Linked DNA regions of Schizosaccharomyces pombe. Changing the gene in region 2 together with the main gene of any one other region gives a genetic interaction. Each region holds a gene or a part of one and is shown on either strand. Other genes may lie near its edges.

Region 1 (5,065 bases), 3.2 Mb from region 2:
GATTGGGGGGATCATACCGATCGCATTTTATCGCCAATTCGGTCCCATGATTTTTCAATAGAAACAATAACTCGTGCTGATTCTGACAGTCTGTATGTTGGCGGAAGCGACGGATGTATACGTTTGTTACACATTCTTCCAAACAAATACGAAAGAATTATAGGGCAACACTCTTCGCGATCAACCGTAGACGCTGTGGATGTTACTACCGAAGGCAATTTTTTAGTTTCCTGTAGTGGAACCGAACTAGCTTTCTGGCCGGTTGATCAGAAGGAAGGAGATGAGTCATCCTCCTCTGATAATTTAGATAGTGATGAAGATTCCAGCAGCGACTCTGAATTCTCGAGTCCTAAGAAAAAGAAAAAGGTGGGAAATCAAGGGAAAAAGCCTTTAGGAACTGACTTTTTTGACGGTTTATAATTCAAAACAGCTTTGATATCTATAAAATTGCACAATCATTATTAAAATTAATTGTCTGTATATTTAAAAATAAAAGCGATCTTCCTAAATTAACTAAACTAAACATCTTCATTAGAGAAAAGAAACATTGTGCTTCGAAAACTTAAAATGAATTCACTAACACTAACACTAAAACTACAAAACCTTTGAACCCCACAAGTTTGGTAGTGATTAATACCTTACAATTAATAAATAAAAGCCTGACTCAGTCTATGCTTTTTAATTCTTTCAAGTCGAAAAGTGACTCATACCAAGGTGTGTGAGTGGGGGAGGCTTTCGTCGTCTATAATAGTAACGAAACTGTTAGAAGCGAAGCAAATAAATAAAATACTATAGGTTTGGCTCGTACAGAAGAGGTACCAGAAGTGGTTGATGCAGATAACACAGTAGGAGCATAGTTTGAAACGGCACTAGGGTTGTTCACGGTTGTTCCATTCCAGCAGTATTGTTCAAAACAAGAAGAGCATTGACTAGGAGTAGACATATTTTTGCGCTCCAAGGAACGTTGTATCATGGCGCATGCCAAACAGACTGCAAATGAATCGCTGTTGTTTTGAGTAGCCGATAGAGCAGCATTTTCAAGAATGCCACTGGACAAAGTGTCATTCATAGACATGGTAAACGTGGAAATATTGGAATAGTAAACCCAAGGATAATTGGGGAAATAAACAAGAAGAGGAGGTGTATTGTTATCTACGGTATGATTACCTGCAGTAGTGTTTCTGCCGTCACATCCAAAGAATGTTGGATGAGTGTTCAGTCCCAAGGAAATGATTGTGTCCTCATCAGGGATATACGGGAAACCTCGAACATCAACACTTTTATTGGCGTTATAAGTTATAATCCTTTCATATGTAGTAACAATAGAAGAGCCATCAGGCCAACCATTAGAATCATCATAAGTTGCGTCAACAGCAAATATAACGTCAACAAATCTTTGAGGATGTAACAAAGGCCAAATAGGAATGTTCTCATCGTCTTCACCACCATCTACTAAATCAATAGTATCGAATCGCTCAAAAGGGTTTTTGACGGTGGTGTTTGTAGTCGTGAAATTCTGATAAGGATTGGGGTAAGGAGCGATGTCATTTTGATCCTCAGAAAGTTTTTCAAATACTTTATGAATAATATCATAGAGAGTACTATTTGACGTTACTTCCTGACTCCATTCTAACAGAAACGTGTTGAACAATGTAGCTGAAGTACCCATAACAAAACCGGCATTATCATAGTTACGAATGCACTTATGGTCTGGTGGAACACCATTCTTTAAATGGGTACCGACGTATTCCATAGGGAGAAAAGCTTTAATACCATTGTCCCAAGTACCAAACTCGTATGGAGTAAATTCGAATATACTGGTGTTGGCAGGGATAGCTTTTTCCTCTTCCAAACGACTGTCAGATATAATGATGGGATAAGGATAGTCGGCATTTTGGAACCAAGTTTGGTTTCTAATGCTAGAAAATGTGATATTTGGACCACCTTGGGTAGCATCGACAAGCTTACGAGATAAAGCGCGTCCCCAAAGATCGGTCAAAGAAGTATCGAATCCTGCATCTTTCTTTTGATCAATCTCATCATCCAGGTCGTCATAATAAGCAAGATTTTCGACAACATTGTCACCATGAGGAGCAAAGACACTATGTTCCAAATTCCAAACGTTGTCACGTAGATAAGTAATATTGGCAAAGTTATTAACAGCTACGGAACCGACCAGCCATGAACCACCAGAAAGACCAGCGATATACATGGCGGATTGAAGAATTCCAGCAAGTGAAGAACCATTGCCATTTCGAGAATCGAAAGCATTTAAAACACCTCCTCCGTGGACCATAGCGCGGAGTCCACCGCCAGAAAATGCAAGTCCTAAACGAGGGCCATCTGAATCATTAATCACAGAGTTTACATCTACGTCCAAACCAGTGTTGGAAATAAAGGACCTCATTTGTGTATTGATTTTGGGGATACGTTTATCAATGAAACTTTGCTCGCCTGAACTTATTCCGTCAGAAGCAGGTCGTAGCATATAGTCACTAGGACAAGTTACATTATAAGGCGCGTATGATCCAACACTGTCGCGCTTGGAAAGCGAAATCGCCAAAGCCTCTCGTTTTTGCATTAATGAAAGAGGCGTGTCATGCATGCCCGGTCTCATTAAGTCAGATTCCCCAAACTCATACGGATCCGACATTTGCTCGCGACAAGGCGGGTACGCCAAGGCCGGCAGGATCTGGAGCAGAGCGAGTATTCCAAAACAATTAAATAACATTGTCTTTTTTTTTTATAGTTAAACCGTCTTTAGGTCAATAAATTTGGGAAATTATGCCAAAATCTACACACCGCTTTGCTTGAACTCAGAGATTAGAAGGCCGTTACAAAAACGCGCTCAAAACAAACGATGGAATCAACGACTGTCTCTCTAGACCCACAAAAGTTTAGAAAATTGACTATACCCTCAAACAATTTTCTTGTGAACGAAAACAACACAACAACGGAATATTTGTAAACGGATGGTGAAACAAATTAAACCAAAAGCGCCCTACTACGTAAAAATTTTAAAACTCCTTATAGCTGAAATTCACCCGTATTCCAACGCAGCTCTTACTGTATCACTGTATCTGCTTACCGTGCTGTTATTTCTGCTCCGGTATATGAGGATCTGATTATTGTAATTTGTGTCTAAATAAATGACAAGTTAGTATCCAAAGTTATTGATTTTTATTAAAAAGCATAGCGTCTCAATGTTAAGATAAACACTGGATTTTGCTCTTGAATTTGGCGAAACGCTTGACAATTCCATGGTTTATAAAATTTTCTGTTTGCGGTATTGCGGAATCAAATGCGAAACCATTTACCATTTCTGTTCATCGGCAAACGTCGCATCGTAACCGAAAACCTGGGATTCATCTGCTTTATGTTTCATACAAATGACTTGCAGTTTTGCAATTTCATTCAACAAATTCATGAATTCCTATTCTTTTTCTTTTATTCCAATTAAATACAAGCTCATGCCTAGTCTCCAAGCAAATCCCCCCTTACACTTTCTTACCCTAAAAGTTAGTAGTAGCTAAAGTAGCGACTTGTGCGATAATTTTAATATTGGGAAAAGGCAAGTTGAAAGTGATTCAGCCTATATATATATGTATATATATGTAAGCAGAGACACATATGTCTATCTTTGACAGATTTTTTAGATTCCCATTTTGTAGATCAAAAAAGGTCCATTTACATCCCCATGATGTAAATGCCCTTCCGTTCTATGCGAAAAGAGACCGAGACTGTCGGTCCTTTAAATATCGCTTAATATGTAAAGTTGTTGTGTAAATCTATATTTTGAGCAGTCGCTGAGACGCAAGCCTTTACGTTGAATTTGTTGCTCATCTTCTGGTCAACTATGACTGCTTTAAAGTTCACATTGGGATGAATGTTGCTAAGCTATATATCTAAAATCCTTAACGACGGAAACATTTGCAGGTTAAGTATAGGAGAATGTAGCGTTCAACCGGGCTGGTTATTTCAACTGCGCCGCCCTCGGATATTAAGTGTGCCTCTTCGAAACCGGACCTTTCTAAGGAACTTGCAGATTGTCCTTGACTATTATTTAACACACATTACTGGCATCAAATTAGTCGCATTACATTACAACTGGCCGCATTTTACATAATTGATTAAAATATGAATCACAATGTTTATTTATTAACTTCCTTCAATCTTTGGAGTCATGGTGTATATAAAATATCATCAATCTCTCTCAGTAACTCTTTTTTTCCTCATAGTTTCATGTTTGTAAAGTCGCTACATCTAATGACATCACAACATATCTTCAAGTGTCTTTCTTCTTGTAATTATGCTCTTTCAATTCTACATAATATATGTTTAGCCAGTTTTCTTTATTTATCAAAATGTTATTATCATACACACATACTTACTTCTGTTCGATTAGATTTTTGTAAATCGCATGCGCATACCTATATCAAAAGCAAAGCCTCAACTTAAAGTTAACTCGGATCCCATTTCGTTTAGACTTAAAGCATAAAATGCACACTTGCTAAATAATTTTGCAAAACACGTAACTCACAGTCATCGGATTAGAAAGTAAAGCCCGAGGCCGAGCAAAACCCGCGCAACTACTACAATTTTTTTCTCCCATTACTCGTTGTGATGTATTCTATACTGTCTCATCTACATCCCCACTACTTCATTGATTAAATTGCGTACAGTTGATATAATTTGTAAATGATCGTATAATCTGTTTTACGTTAACTAAATTTTTTCATTTCTACATCTCCTTCCTCATCCTAATTAATGAATTATAGGCTGTATGTTAAAGTTCACTATTCCTTGTTCAAGTATAGCAAACCTTTAAAAATCAAATTTTATCATACAAAATATATACATATAAATAATAATTTTTTGAATCAAACAAAACAAAAAAATTACAGTCAACTTATTTATATAGACAAACAACATTCTTATTACAACCAAGAATTAAAAAAATGACTTATTTTCGCAACTATATATAACAGCAACTCTCATAAACAACTAGAACACGTCCAATTTGGAGCCGTCAACAAAACTGAATTACAGCAAACGAAAGCTCACA
Region 2 (4,615 bases):
TTTGTTTATGCGAATTAACTTATTTATTTTCTATATAATTTATTAATACATATATGTATTCGCTGTAATGGCTTGGTCGAAGTGTTTAGTACTCCCAATAGTGCATGTTCGGTGGTCTCGGGTTCGAGTCTCGCTTTCGATCCCTCGATCTGCCACGTCTGTTCGAAGAGTAGTCTTCGTGGCAACTGGCAGTTAAACCGTGTAGTACCGATGGAGGTTGGAAACAATGCACATCACTACCGGGTCTTGGGCAGTGCGATAGCGATGGGATTCACCTTCGCAGGATGTGCATGGAAGTATAAACACAACGGTCGTTTCTTCTTTTTTTCATGATTGAGCAATACAACATTGTTTGAGAAGCCTTACTGTTTTTGAAATTGTTAAGATAATGATTTGGCTAATCGTAGTTGTTCACATGCTAATGTTGTTCTTACTCTTACCATATAGTTGTTAGGTTAGCGAAAAAGACTTAGTAATCCCTTTAAATACAATTTCATCATTTCCTCAGGCTCATTTAGTTAATGCTCAAATTTAATGATTACTTATCTTGCCTACTTAATATCCATTTCCGATTAGTCCCCGTAAGATGTGTATTTTTTTTTAGTATCCAGTCCTTAACCAAAGCCGTAAAGAAAAAAAAATTAAATATGTGTGTTTTCCAAAAACACAAAAAATTGTCTATAGAAATTGAGATCATACAACGATAGCTTCTCTCACTTTGTTGAATAAGTGCTATGCGATAATTTGTCTTAATGCTTTGATGAATTTACTCTTCACCTTGTATGCGAGCCTTTTTCTTCACTTCCTTCTTTTTCTTTTTGCGCTTACGCTTTTTGGTATCATCATCATTTTTATACATTTTGAAAGTTTCTTGCTCTCTTTGAGGGTGATACAAATTGGCTACAAAAAAACCAATAGTACCTCCGGCTCCTGGTTTACACCGAATCATTCCTTCAGCCATTGAAGGTTGAGCACAATACTCTGGAATTCCTCGAGTTTTCCAGTTGGGTAGAGTTTTTGTCAAAGAGTTACATTTCCAGTCAGGTTCTTGCGACAAAACCTCACATACTACTTGTTCGTTTTCTAAACGGTGCACTGAACATGTAGAATATGTGACATGGCGGCAGTTAGGAAATTGTAAAGCATGCTTTAAAATGGTAGACTGAAAACTACACAAATTTTCAAGTCTTTCGGTATCTTCCGTAACGTCTTGTTCATTACCCAGCAGATAGTCTTGACGACTCACAATTCCAGAACCAGAACAAGAAGGATCAAGCAGGATATGAGTGACATTTCGGTAAAGATCACTCTTGGGATCAGTTAGGGTAAAATCTTGATGTTCGATGGTGACATTATTAGCGCCTGATATTCCCACCATTTTTCGAAGTGTCTGCACTCTTTTCGCGTCACGTTCAAATGCAAATATATGAGATTTTGGAAAACAAGCAGCTAAATGAGTAGTTTTGTTCCCTGGAGCAGCACATCCATCTATTATATCACCAACGTGACCAGTTAGCCCGGCCAATACAGCAGCAGGAAAACAAGATGCCTTGTCCTGAATAATCACTTTCCCCTCCTTGTACAATGAATTTTCAACTATAGGAAATGATGGATCGATGGCTATTAAGTTTTCAACACAATCATCAATATAAAATTTGTCGGGGCCCAGTTCCTCAATTGAACTGACTTTATCCAAGCCTAAACCTTGCAAAACCTCGTCTTTTGTGCTTTTAATGGTATTTATTCGAAGCCAGCGAGGGAGCGACACAGGATTTTTCAATGCCAGCTCCTCATGGCTCTTAACCCCTTTTTTCACCTTGAGTTTGACAAACTCGGCGTTCAGGCGTGTCTTGTGACGAAGAATGCATTCCTTGATAGGACCATTTGAAATGGATAACCCTCGCTTTGACATCAGTAAATCATGGACAAGGACTCTAGCCAAATTTTCTTTTAACTACAATAACCAGGTTAGCTTCAAAAAATTACGAAACAACTATCGTTTCATTAATTTGTACCTTTTTCTCTAAAACTAATAACTCGGATCGCGCAATTATTTCATCCAAAACAGGTTTATCTATATAAAAGAAGAAAGTTAGTCAAATCGTTTATATTAAAGTTTTACTATTCTTGTTTACATTTGAGAGTTTCGCAAACCAAAGCATAAGTGCGTTTTGGATCATGTTTTTTTGAATTAAATGCTAATTGCTTAATTGATCCTTTTTTTTTACTTAAATCTGAAAGTATGTTGGCAGCATGATTATAAAAATCCATATCGAGGCAAGATCCTCCTCGGTATGAGTAGTGGAAAAGCTGCTGCACAAAACTGAGTACCTTACTCAGGTCACAATGTCTATTGTTACTTGTATGTATAGGTATAAATAAAATATTCAACAATTGCAGCCAAAGTGAATTTGTTAACTAAAGAAATTTCTTATTGATGTTAAATTTTTTATTTTAATTGTGTTTCTCTCACGAATGAGAAAAATATATCAAACATAAGTCGTCTGGGCATAACAAAGTCATTCAATTGTCATAATCCATGAAACATAATAGTAATAATAATAAGCGTTTTAAAATGTGTAGGATAAACGTGAACAACCATTCAATAGGTGGCATGCATCATAAATAAAAGGTAATCTGACCCAAAATTAACAAAGTTATATTTCAGTCAAAAATTCATAAACAACACTAGGCCTTTAATTCAAAGAAACTAGACTACAGCGAATACTGAAAAATGTACGACTGTAATCAGAATATAAATAAACTTGGAAACGATCCGTAAGAGCTATAGTCTTTTGAGAATCATCAAACAACGTAATTTTAACAGAGGAGTCATCGGGAGCAACTATAAAACTTTTAATTCTATCATCTGAACTGAGGTCTACTCTGTTGGATATTCCATATTCAGAGATATAGACATCAATAGAATTTCCAGATATTCTAGTCGCAAATGCTTGAACTGGCATAGATTTCTTATCATGCTTTTTGCAATACTCAGCAATATATACAGACAAAAAGAGTTGCTGGCTATCTTCTTGCACAGTGGTGGATTTCTCCTTCTTTTCATTACAATGTGCAGCCACTAACGAACAATTTTTTTTGTCAATACCCGGGGATGTGTTCTTAAGGCTACGTTCCAATAAACGATGAACAATAATGTCAGGGTATCTTCTAATCGGAGAAGTAAAATGGGTATAATGATTAAATGAAAGAGCGTAATGGTGCCAGTCTGTTTTCTCACCGAAATCGCCAGTACAAAAGTATTCAGCACGATTTAACGAGCGAACTGCCATATTTTCAAATAATTCTACCAATTCTTCATTAAAAGTGCTTCTGAGTCGTACCATAGAGGCATTAAATGCAGCTGAAGACGATGCATCGAAATCGAAGTTCATGCTTTTTAGAAAGTGACAAAACTCATTAATTTGTTTCTCTTTAGGACTTGCATGGCGACGAAGCAAGGAATTATTGGAGAAATTTTTACTGATATGTTCAGCAACAGATCTATTGGCGAGAAGCATAAACTCTTCGATGAGATGATTTGCATCGGTTTGCTCATATACCTCGCATTTATTCGGCATTCCATATTCATCTAATTGGAATTTGAGTTCTGTCGAGTTAATCTCTACAGCGCCCTTAGCAAATCGATCTTTGCGAAGCTTTCTCGAAATTTCGCAAAGTGTTAATATAGACGTTTCAACATCTTTTGGAGTATGCGTACCTCCTATCGGTTTGCCTACAGCATCATCCCAGGACTTTCCTTCGATCACACCTTGAGCCTCACTGTAGGCAAGTCTGGCACATGTCTTTATAACTGTTTTGCCAAACCAACGCTTACCAATTTCCTTACCATTGGAGTCGAGTTTCCAAAAAACGCTAAATGCAAGACGCTCAACGTTGGGATTTAATGAACAAAGTCGTTCACACAACAGAGGAGGAAGCATCGGAATAGCCTTTTGCACAAGGTATACTGTTGTAGCCCGCGAAGCTGCCTCTTTGTCCAATGCTGAATCTGGTTTTACAAAATGAGTAACATCAGCGATGTGGACACCCACTTCATAAGTGCCATTGTCAAGAGCGCGACAGGAAACAGCATCATCCAAGTCACGAGCTGTTTCAGGATCAATGGTAATAATTAACTCATTTCTTAAATCTCTTCGTTTTTTTATTTCCTCATGTGAGATAATCCAATCATCAGGAGGCAAGCAGTTTAAAACCTCATCAGAGAAGGGAGAGCTACTAATTCCATTTTCTAGCAAAAGCGCATTAGTGTAAGCCTCCACGTCAGTAATATTTCCCAGCTTTTCACCTAATACACCCATAGGGTAACGAGAGTAAATACTCCACCTTGTAATCTCAACTGAAAACAACTGATCGTGGTGTTTCAAAATATTTTCAATCCAATTTTCACCACTTAAATCGCTTAAATCATTTTTGTGAATTGTGATAAAGGGCAGACGTTTATCTTTTGGAATGAAAATCGCGTACGAGGATTTTTTGGAAACATATTCTACATTTTTTAATGACCAACCTGGTGCTCTTAAAATCCCTACAATTTTAGAAATTTCCGCTCTCTTCTCAATGGCGACAACACGAGCTCTCGTTCTGCTATCAC

The links.
Region 1: mutations in rcm1 (region 2) and plb3 together harm fitness less than expected from each alone (positive genetic interaction), as found in Schizosaccharomyces pombe (one large-scale study listed by BioGRID).

The regions. Positions count from the first base shown.
Region 1 is NC_003424.3:1,069,397-1,074,461, forward strand, and holds plb3 (lysophospholipase Plb3), read right to left. Parts: upstream 2,967-5,065; 5' UTR 2,732-2,966; coding exon 743-2,731; 3' UTR 527-742; downstream 1-526. Other genes in the region: wdr55 (WD repeat-containing protein), read left to right, coding at 1-420; SPOM_SPAC1A6.11 (uncharacterized protein), read left to right, coding at 4,138-4,458.
Region 2 is NC_003424.3:4,268,601-4,273,215, forward strand, and holds rcm1 (rRNA methyltransferase), read right to left. Parts: upstream 2,304-4,615; 5' UTR 2,272-2,303; coding exon 2,136-2,271; exon of another isoform or gene 2,075-2,135; coding exon 2,016-2,074; exon of another isoform or gene 1,955-2,015; coding exon 767-1,954; 3' UTR 509-766; downstream 1-508. Other genes in the region: 3'-5'-exoribonuclease Dis32, read right to left, coding at 2,697-4,615. UniProt on the Schizosaccharomyces pombe protein: S-adenosyl-L-methionine-dependent methyltransferase that specifically methylates the C(5) position of a cytosine in 25S rRNA.